Linked DNA regions of Callithrix jacchus. The protein of the gene in region 2 purifies or fractionates together with the protein of the main gene of each other region. This does not show direct contact. Links are inferred from orthologs where the notes say so. Each region holds a gene or a part of one and is shown on either strand. Other genes may lie near its edges.

The links.
Region 1: the proteins of TFAP4 (region 2) and FBXW11 purify together in Homo sapiens (affinity purification with mass spectrometry; 7 studies listed by BioGRID and IntAct, counting the BioPlex papers as one, with this or other methods). This does not show direct contact. The link is inferred for Callithrix jacchus from reciprocal best matches to the Homo sapiens genes TFAP4 and FBXW11.
Region 3: the proteins of TFAP4 (region 2) and BTRC purify together in Homo sapiens (affinity purification with mass spectrometry; 4 studies listed by BioGRID and IntAct, counting the BioPlex papers as one, with this or other methods). This does not show direct contact. The link is inferred for Callithrix jacchus from reciprocal best matches to the Homo sapiens genes TFAP4 and BTRC.

The regions. Positions count from the first base shown.
Region 1 is NC_133503.1:64,156,271-64,159,922, forward strand, and holds part of FBXW11 (F-box/WD repeat-containing protein 11), read right to left. Parts: intron 1,588-3,652; coding exon 1,469-1,587; intron 1-1,468.
Region 2 is NC_133513.1:6,366,573-6,370,224, forward strand, and holds part of TFAP4 (transcription factor AP-4), read right to left. Parts: 5' UTR 3,160-3,652; coding exon 3,053-3,159; intron 2,042-3,052; coding exon 1,876-2,041; intron 1,763-1,875; coding exon 1,664-1,762; intron 1,283-1,663; coding exon 1,112-1,282; intron 1-1,111.
Region 3 is NC_133513.1:94,486,715-94,490,366, reverse strand, and holds part of BTRC (F-box/WD repeat-containing protein 1A), read right to left. Parts: intron 2,438-3,652; coding exon 2,188-2,437; intron 1,709-2,187; coding exon 1,590-1,708; intron 220-1,589; coding exon 109-219; intron 1-108. UniProt on the Homo sapiens protein: Substrate recognition component of a SCF (SKP1-CUL1-F-box protein) E3 ubiquitin-protein ligase complex which mediates the ubiquitination and subsequent proteasomal degradation of target proteins. Recognizes and binds to phosphorylated target proteins.

The DNA.
Region 1 (3,652 bases), on a different chromosome or scaffold from region 2:
AGTAAATTTTGCAGTGAGTCTGAGATGACAGGAAGAAGGAATCTTGACAGCTGAAGAAGTGAGAATAGTTCCAAGCTTCCAGTTCTTGTTGACCTCTGACAGGCCTCTGAGTCTATTATTTATCCACTGCAAATTGGGTAAGTCATGATGCCTCATCAATCATCACATCCACTTCTTTATCCGGCTGCTTTATGGACAAAGCCAGGATCTAGCAACTGCTTTGTACATCCAGGGATTTGGGGGCAGCACCTCCACATCATGGCTTTTTTGTAACCCTCATTTCCTTAGAGGACAAGTTCACACAGGGCAGAGGAGAAAAGACTCAGGCCTCTGAGGCTCAGACACAATCTCTGGCAGAAGCAGTGGTACAGAAGCAATGAGTCCAGAGGAGGATACTAGGCGTGCTTTAAACGGGTGGTGAGAGTGTCCAGGAGTGAAGTGAGAGGCTAATAACAACAACTAACATAAAGAGGAGTGAAAAGGGGAGAACGTGGGTATCCAAAGACAGACTCAGTGACCATTCCAATCGCTTAGGCTCGTGTACCTGTAAAACAATCCTCTTCAAATATCTGACCCAACCCAGAAGAGCTGTTTCCTTCTCTTTCACATTTCCTCCAGATACCAGTAGTCTTGCTGAGGCTTTCCTGTGTGACCTACAGCTCTGATGGCCTCATCACTACACCCAACTCCCAAGCCCATCTGGTGTGAAAAAAATGCGTTTATCCCAGAGGTATAGGAATGGATATCAATAATGTTCCCTTTCTACTCGCTCACCTCTTACCCAAACGTCATTGCTTTCCTTGTACTGCAGAACATTGCCACTTTCATCTTCATCATTCTGCCACTCAGTGACAAATGAAAATCAGTGCTTCCACTACTGGCAAGGCTACATATACAGTCATGACTTGAATCAATTCAAGGTTCAAAATTTATTAATTCTGTGACTCTGAGCAAATTATTTAATCTCTCTGGTCTTGGTTTCCTAATACAACTCCAAAAATGGAGGTAACATCTGCCTCTTCAGAAAGGTTGATGTGAGAACTGATAAAATGATACAGAGTACCGAGTATACTATCCGCTCTCACATTTTACTTTCCTGGTGTTGCTGAAAAGATTCTGCAAACTGCTTTTGAGTCTTTCAGTATTTGTAGGTGGTGCCCACCACACTCCTAGAATAGCTGCCTTCCTCCTCTCTGCTCTGGACCACAGTTTCCCAAAAGGAAAAAGCCAGACTAATACTTGGTATGTGCTCGTACAGGAAAGCATGTTATCATCTCTAAAATGAACAGCAACACTCTTAAATTAGCTGTTTTGCCTAATTTGCTCAAACATATCTACAACAAAAGTAGTTTGAAACACAGCCTGTAAAAATGTATGCAAAGTTTATGTATGCCTCTCCCAGAGGAGGATGTCAATCACAGACTTTCTCAGGGAAGGCTTACAAGATCAACAAAGCCAGATCACTCACCTCACTGTAGAATCTGAAGAGCCAGTTACAATGACACGCTCATCATATTGCAGGCAGAGGACAGAGCCTGTGTGTCCTGTTAACACTTTCAAACATTCCAGGCTGGTTTTATCCCAAATCTATTGAGACAAGATTAGCCACAAACAACGATTTATTATTATACTATATTTTGATGAATATTACTGTCCCACCTTATGTTCTGATTATAAAATGAAATACTTGGGTTATAGTAAATAAGAAACATTGAATATCAAACAGGTAAGAAACAAGTAGGAATACAGACAATAGTGGTTAACTACTAGGATAGATGTGCTATTTTGTTTAATTTGAACCCTTAGCTATTAATCTCATTACACTTACCAATGGCCTCATAAAGGGAACTTTTAAAAAATAAAATCTGTGAAAAGAAGTCACTCACTGGCTGGGTGCTATGGCTCATGCCTGTAATCCCAACACTTTGGGAGGCAGAGACAGAAGTATCACTTGAGCCCAGAAGTTCAATACCAGCCTGGGAAACCCATCTCCACAAATTTTATATATGTTTTTTTTTTTTTTTTTAATTAGCCAGGCATGGTGGTGTCTGCCTGTAGTCCCAGCAACTCGGGAGGCTAAGGTGACAGGATTGCTTGAGCCCAGGAGGCAAGGCTGCAGTGAGTCACAATCACACCACTGTACTCCAGCCGGGGTGACAAGGCAGGACCCTGCTTTTCCATTTTATTTTATGTCTCGTAAAAATAAAGAAGTGGCTCAATCTCTGGAAAGCAACATGACAACATAACTATTAAGACCTTTTAAAAATGCATACCCCTATGTTTACAAAAATAAAATGTCCAACATTTCATAAAAGTCTCAAAGTAAACTATGAAGAGTTTTTAATGAGAAAATATCATGCTTCATTACAAAGTTAAGCATTTTTAAAAATCAGAATAAAAATTATAAAGTGACACAATGACTATGTATATACTGCAGAAAAGGAAAAAAGGATTAAAGGAAGGAAATTGTTATTAATAGTTGTTTTCATACTCCTGAGTGTTCCTTTTCTCGCTTCTTTTACGGCTTCCACAGATTTGTCTTTTCTAGAATGTCACAGAGTTGGAATCATACAGTATGTAGCCTTTTTAGATTGGCTTCTTTCACATAGTAATACACATTTAAACTTCCTCCCTGTCTTTTCATGGCTTGATATACGTTCCTTTTTAGTGCTGAAAATTATCCCTGTTGTCTAGATGTACTACAGTTTATTTATCCATATACCTACTGAAGGACACCTTGGTTGCTTCCAAGTTTGGGCAATTATGGGCAAAGCTGCCATAAACATCTGGGTCCAGGCTTTTGTGTAGACATAAGTTTTTGATTCCGTTGTGTAAATATTAAGTCGCACAACTGCTGGATCATATGGTAAAAGTATGTTTAGTTTTGTAAGAACTGCCAAACTGCCTTACAACGTGGCTGTACCATTTTGTATTTCCACCAGCAGTGAATTCAAGCTCCTGTTCCTGTTGCTCCACATGCTCGCCAGCATTGGGTGTTGTCAGTGTTCTGGATTTTGTCCATGCTAACAGGTGTGCAGTGGTGTCTCATTGTTATAATCCACATTTCCCTGATGACTTACGTGGAACATCTTGTCACATGCTTATATGCCATCTGTGTATCTTCTTTGGTGACATGTCTGTTAAGGTCTATGCCTTATTTTTTTTTTTTAATAGGTTAATTAATTTTCTAACTGTTGAGATTCAAGAGCTCTTTCTATGTCTTTTGCATATATTTTCTCTCGTCTGTGGCTTGTTTTTTCATTCTCTGGACAATGTCTCTCACAGAACAGAAATTTTTTATTTTAATGAAGTCCAGCTTATTCTTTCTTTAATGAAGCATGCCTTTGACATTGTATCTAAAAAGTCACCAACAAACTCAAGATCATGTGGGTTTTCTACTATATTGTATTCTACAAATTTTATGGTTTTCTGTTTTACATCTAGGCCTTTAATCCATTTTGATTTAATTTTTGTGAAGTATATAGGATCTGTGTCTGTATTATTTGGGAGTAAAGGAGGCAATATGGTGTCTAGTTGCTTCTGCCCAATTGCTGAAGAGACTATCTTTTCTCCATTGTATTACCTTTGTAAAAGATCAGGTGACTATATTTGTGAAGGTATGTATTTCTGGGCTCTCTATTCTTTTCCATGG
Region 2 (3,652 bases):
ACTCAACCTCCCACTTCCATGGAGAAGCCATGGGGCATCACTTGGAAAACCAGGTCAAACCCACTCCGGATGCCACAGCTCCAGCCTGGCCTTCATCATGATTAAGTGCTTTGTTTTTGGTTTTTGTTTTGAGACAGGGTCTCCCTCTGTCACCCAAGCTGGAGTGCAGTGGCACAATCACAGCTGACTGCAGCCTCCACCTCCTGGGCTCAAGCCATCCTCCCAGCTCAGCCTCCCAAGTAGCTGGGACCACAGATGTGCACCACCACACCTAGCTTTTTTTTTTTTTTTTTTTTTTTGAGACCGAGTTTCGCTCTTGTTACCCAGGCTGGAGTGCAATGGCGCGAGCTCGGCTCTCCGCAACCTCCGCCTCCTGGGTTCAGGCAATTCTCCTGCCTCAGCCTCCTGAGTAGCTGGGATTACAGGCACGCGCCACCTGTAATACAGCTAACTTTCTGTATTTTTAGTAGAGACAGGGTTTCACCATGTTGACCAGGATGGTCTCGATCTCTTGACCTCGTGATCCACCCGCCTCGGCCTCCCAAAGTGCTGGGATTACAGGCGTGAGCCACCGCGCCCGGCCACACCTAGCTTTTTAAGACAGGGTGTCACTGTCACCCAGGCTGGAGTGCCATTGTGCGATCACCGCTCACTGCAGTCTCCACCTTCTGGGCCCAAGCAATCCTCCCAGCTCAACCTCCTGAGTAGCTGGGACCACAGGCACACCCCACCACACCTGCCTAATTTTCACATATTTTTTGGTGGAGATAGGATCTCACTACGCTTCCCAGGCTGGTCTCAAAACACCTGGGCTCAAGTGATCCTCCCACCTCAGCCTCACAAAGTGCTGGGATTACAGGTGTGAGCCACCATACCCAGCCCATAGGGTTACATTTTTTAGGTCATTTGACTAATCTCCCCCACCGCGATGCAAACGGTTACCCCCAAGGGCAGGGACGTGTCTGGCTTGCTCCCCACTCCTAAGCCTGGCACCGCAGCAGGTGCGCCTGTAAATAGGGCTCAACCAAGGGTAGCAGAGCCTTACAGGGGGGACCCCAGGCTCCACGCCCGCTGCACCACGCGCCGCGCCCAGCAGAGGGCGCTGCCTCACCTGCTCCTCCAGCATCATGCGCACCGAGCGCTCCTTGTCCAGCTGCTGCCGAAGCTCAATCATCTCCCGCCGCAGGTCCTCCGCCTTCTCGTCCTCCCAGATGTCCGGAGAGCCGATGCCTTCGTCCTTGTCCTCTGCCCGCCGTCGCTTGGGGGACGAGCCGCTCAGCTCCTGGGGACCCCAAGGAGTCGGTCAGTGTGCCTGACACCTCGGTACCACCACCACGGAGATTGGGGCTCCATCACAGCCCCTCAAAGCTGCCCAACACAGGTGGATCTTCATTAGGGAGCCCCTTCTGCAAGTCCAACAAACCAGCCAAATGCCAGGAGAAGGGCTGCTGTTCAGGAGCAGTCACCTGGCTCATTGCAGAGCCCACTCCACCACACTAGACTGATGGGGAAACTGAGGCTGGGGCAGGAAAACAAGTGCCTGAAGTACTTGCCAGTGGGCAAGAAGGGGCCTGCAGCCATACCTGCATCCCAGGCCCAGGGTTGGGTCCTGGGATGCCCATGCCAGGAGAGGGAGCCAGGAAGGGGGGCAGGGAGGGAGCACCTGGATGAAGCGCTTGAGCTGTGTGTTCTGCTGCAAGAGCCTGGTCTTCTCCTGCTCCAGGGAGAAGATGTACTCGGCTGTCTGCTGGAGAATGGCTGCCTGAAGGCAGGGAAAAGCCAAGCGTCAAGCTGGTAGTGTTTACCAGAGCTCACTTTCCTCTCCCAGAGGGAGTCTGCCGCCTCCTCCGGGAAGCCCTCCCTGCTCTCACCCACCTTGCTAAGCTTCTCTCCGTCTGTGTGGGGGATGAGGGTCTTGAGAGACTGGAAGCCGGCGTTTATGCTCTGCATGCGCCTCCGCTCGTTGCTGTTGGCGATCTCCCGTCGAATCCGCCGCTCCTGGTCCCGCTGGGTCTCTGGGGTCAGTGGAATGTTGGCAAGGCTGCCAGAGAGGACAGGAACAGGCTTGGCCAAAGCGCCCTCTTCATCATTCATCTCCAGAGGGTCCCAGTAGAACCTGCATCCCGCCCCTGCTGCAAAAGATGCCAGGCCACCCCCAGAGGGTGATGGAGGGGCGCTCCTGGGACACCCAGGTGGACTGAATAGGCTGGCTGAGGGTAAGATAGTCTGCTCAGAACCCAGCGAGGGCCAGGCACAGTGGCTCACACTTGTAATCCCAGTTCTTTGGGAGATCAAGGCCAAGGATCATTGAACCCAAGAGTTTGAGATCAGTCTAGGCAACATACTGAGACCCTGTCTCTACAAAAAACAAAAATAGCTAGGTGTGGTGGTGCACGCCTGTAGTTCCAGCTACTCCTTCCAGGAGGCTGAAGTGGGAGGGCTGCTCGAGCCCACAGGTGGAGGCTGCAGGGAGCTATGATCGAGCCAGTGCATTTCTGGGCAACAGAGTAAGACCTTGTCTCAACAACAAAAACCCATCCCCTCCTTGGCTTCCCTCACGGGGGGCAGTTTCTCCTCCCCAACAGAATTCCCAGTGTGAGCGTCAAAACACCCAGGAGCTAAGAAACTGTGCAGACGACGGGTGCTGGCCCCAGTGTCTGACTAGCAGGCCTGGTGGGGCCCAGAAACCTGCATGGTGTGATTCTGATGCACGTGGGACGCCGACAGTCAGGGACGACGACGCTGTCCCGCTCTGCTGGGCGCCTGGAGCGCCTCTTCAGTGTCTCAGGCTTTGAATCCCAGGACTAAGGGAGACGTCCCCACTCCCTTCCTACCCTCACGGCCACGCCTCCAGCCACAAGCCCCAGCCCCACTAGGCTGAGACTTCACACACCTCACTCAGGACAAGACAGATACCACTCACTCCCCAAAAAGACACGCAGCCAACAACCCCTACAGACAGTGCTCCCCGCAGCCCACCCACTCCAAGAGACAGACCCACCCCTTGCCGGAGAAGCGAGGCTCCCAGCATGCTGTGGGGAGCGCTACTAACCCTTGCAGGAGCAGCGGCCGGTGGAGTGAGAAGGCAGCCCTGGGGAAGAGGGCGGGGCTTCCTGCGGGGGCGGGGCGTGCGCGCCAGAGGGCGGGGCTGCGGGCCATGGGGCAGAGGCAGCGGTTGTGGGCCCAAGGCCACGCTCCCGAGGGTTGGGCCTGTGTGTGGCCTGGAGGAGGCCTGTCTCCCTCCCTGGACCTCCCCTGCAACTTCCCCCGCCCCTGCCCTGATGGCTTCCAGATGCTGGGCTCCCAGCAGAGGCCGCCGGCCCCACCCGAAGCCGCAGCCCCGGCCTCTTCCTGAGGGGCCCTCCCGGGGTGCCGGGTTCCAGGACTGGGCCAAGGGGCTCACGCCCTTGAATCTGGGAGAACAGGGAAATGGCTCTGAGCAGCTCTTGCTCCATTGGCGGGGACAGTCTGGGGTCAAGGGGCTGCCAAGTCTTAACTCCCCTGCTGTGGCCCCTACGCCAATGGGCAGGCGGAAAAGAGTTTGCACGGACCAAGGAGAAAGCACATCTCCAACAGCTGGAAACAGCCGTGGCCTTCCTGGCCCCACCCATCCTGCCCATCTGTCCAGCCTTGGCTCCCTGTGGGACCCTGG
Region 3 (3,652 bases), about 88 Mb from region 2:
ATCTATAAGCTTTTAGAAACAAGGAATGGTTATGTTTAACACCATAAACATAAGGAAGGATTAAGAGGTAGATTTTCTTTTTTTTTTAACACTGTTTTTTATACTCACCCATCATAGGCCCCACTGACTATCCTCTTGTTATCAAATCGAATACAACGCACTAATTCCTCATGGCCTTCTAACACTCGTAAACATGCACCACATTCTATGTCCCATAATCTGGAAGAGAAAAGTGAGTCAAGTGATTTTTCACATATTCTAAGTCTGGAGTGTTATAATAATACACTTCATATGCCTTCTAAAAACTCACAAAATAAAATCAATCACCACCCACATAGAAAGTACCATTTTCAATGTAATTTATTTCCTTTCTGCTATATAACTCATGCAGAAAAATGTAGGTTTAAGTTCAAATGTAGTATGTATTTTCAAAGTATAATGCTTTATATAATTCTGTAACCAGGTTCTTCCAGGCATAAAAATGATGAATTCAAGGCACACAGTTGCCTGAGAAGAAAATGACCAAACTAAGAAAGTAGTTTCCTGAAGTCACCATACAGATTATCAGTGATGTCCTGTTCTCACAAAGCACCTCTCCCTCTGCCACAGTGGACACTTCTTTCACCACTGTCCAGGACAGTTTTTCTCAGAGAATGGAAATGCAAAGCCAGTTCTCAAAAACTTTTGTGTACTAATTTTAAAAACTGTATATTCTGAAATTATTTTTCAGAACTTTTTAAAGTGATTTCTAGGAATAATTTCCTTAGATATAACAGTAGCTCTATCTGTTTTTTTTTTTTAGTGGCCTTTTCATCCTTTTAGTACTTCACTGAAGAGAGAGGATGGATAGATCTTTCAAATTCTATTAATATCCACGTCATTCATCTTTGTGAAGAGAAAATTAAAAAATGACTTCCAACTGTGAAATCTTCATAATTTCAAGGACAGGTAACTCTATGGCCAATTATGTAATGCTAAGACCAAAATTACATAATTTCTAGTAAGAAAACATATCTTTCTTTTCACTTCTTAAGTGGCAAACAATGACAAAGAGAAAACTTAATAGCATTTTGCAACTGTAGACAGGAGAAATTTAAAAAGAAGGGCAACGACAGGGCATGATGGTTCACACCAGCACTTCAGGAGGCTGAGGCCAGTAGATCACGAGGTCAGGAGTTCGAGACCAGCCTAACCAACATGGTGAAATCCCATCTCTACTAAAAATACAAAAATTAGCCGGGCGTGGTGGCACATGCCTGTAATCCCAGCTACTCAGGAGGCTGAAACAGTAAAATCACTTGAACCTGGGAGGCCAAGGTTGCAATGTGCCAAGTACACATTGCACCAAGTCACACCACTGTACTCCAGCCTGAGCAACAGTGCAAGACTCCAATTTCAAAAAAAAAAAAAAAAGATGGGCAACAAAAGGCTTTGTTGCTGCCTCTCTGCTTCTGACCTGTAAGAAGCTACAAAAAGGAAAAACAGTTGATTATAAACATAACAAAACTGAAGACTTGATTGATCTGTGCACTAATAATGAATGGGAGCATAATATTGATCATTTACGATAAAAGGCACTTGCTGCTCACCTAATAGTATTGTCAGATGAGCCACTCACTACCAGCCTGTCCCTGTATTGCAAACAGGCAATGCCTCGTTTGTGTCCATTTAAGGTCCTCACAAATTCACAAGTACTTGTGTTCCATACCTGAAAAAGAAAACGGCATTGAGCAATTGATTTGGTGCTTTTACTGGTAAAATCTATGGCAACTGGAGTCTTAGGGAAGCAGGAAATGAGACTGAACCATTAAAGGGAAGTCAAATTCTCAAACAGAGCAAAAGACAATTTAAATTCATGGTAATAGAGGCTAATTTGCTGTTGGCTGTTATCAAGAAAATTCCTCAAACTGATTTTCTCTTCTAGGGTTAGTCTGATCTTGCAGATACATTTTTCTTGACCCTACATTTGCCCCTGCCCTTCTCACACTCACCATTATTTATAAGAATAAAATACCTAGCTCATATTGTCACACATCTCATTTATTACCTTTTCACTTGTAGACTAGTCTCTGAAATAAATACTACATATTTCTTCAGTGATGTTTAAATATGACATTGCCCTTGATCACATTTTCATATGAATTCCCCTATTCTAAGTTGGAGACTTACTGAAAGATACCTGATTACCTTTATAGTTCTATCCCCAGATGCAGAAACGATGTACTTGTCATCAAAGTCTACAACATTGACAGCAGCTCGGTGTCCAACCAGCACCCTCCGGAGGGTAATGTCAGTTGGGGAGGCCATATCCCATACAGCAATGGAACGATCTTTGGAGCACGTCACCATCATGCCATTATTGAAACGCAAGTGCAGAACTGCTTCACAATGGTGAATCAATGTGTTTAGCATTTCACCTGTATTTACATCCCACACTCTGGAAGTGACACATGAGACTTAGAAGGTACTCAAGCTACAATCTGTTATCTATATTTGACCATCATATGCCCTGCCACTCCTCATATTTTCATGGTAAGTGTTATAATTCTACTCTTTAATTCCTTTGCAGCACTAAGCTGCGGTAAATACTGATGGATTGTGGGAAAGTGGTAGAGAGAAGCCCAGACTGGGAGAGTGGGAGAAGGAAGGGGATGGGATGTTGCCAGTGTGTCCTTTAGACACACTGCTTGAAATATGGGCAAGTTGTGGAGGGCAAGGATGAGGTGGCAGCCACTGTCACCTAATAATTTGGCCCAGACTTGAAGATTATTATAAAACTTCTGACATTCAATTTGATACCATTAATAAGATACATTTTAAATGGGGAATCTGATTAATAACAGTAGCATTAGTGCCCATCCCAATAAAACCCTCAGGAGCCAGAAATGACATAGGTCAAGATGCTTCTGTCACATACTTAGCAATGCAAATTTGAGTTTGATTTCCCTGGATCTCAGGTCTTATCATAGAGGTCAAAGGCCAAGATAACCACAACTCTTAATTATAAGCCCCCCATTTCTGTGCTTTGAAGTGGGTACAGGTTTAAAATAGCCCTCTCATTGTAAATACAGGCTTCACAGAAGAGTGTGGGGCCACTGGATAGCTTGGGAATTTTGTGTGATGACATATTTGATTATTCTATTTTTGTGTATTTACTTTGGGTTTTATAACATGTTATTTCCTTTTTCCAGTTTAGCCCCCTTTTATGGAATATCATTTTTTCTTTATCTTATAAATGATGTTAGCATCTACAGTATTTCAGATTCAGTGAGGCACTTGCTCCACAAGCACCAATAAATGTTAAATGTCAATAATTACACGGACCGAGTTTGCTATGCCTTTAAGTCAAAAGACAAAAACCACAAACAGTCTTTTCTATTCACAGAGGATAACTTGGAATGGTAAACATTTAACTTCAGAGTATCGAACAATGCAGTTAACTGCTTTTTTTCCTAGGTTTATTTTTTTTTAAAGTTACTTTTGATGCATTATGTTTGCTAAATACTTCAGCTTAAGGCAAAATTCCTAACAGAAGTTCCCAGCAGTGCTGCTGGTACCCAGAACTCAAGCTATCCTGGACTCCAGCAGTATAATGGCTGTGTCATCAAATCACTAACGCCTCTGGAAATTGAGGGCCCCTCCCTGAGTGAAG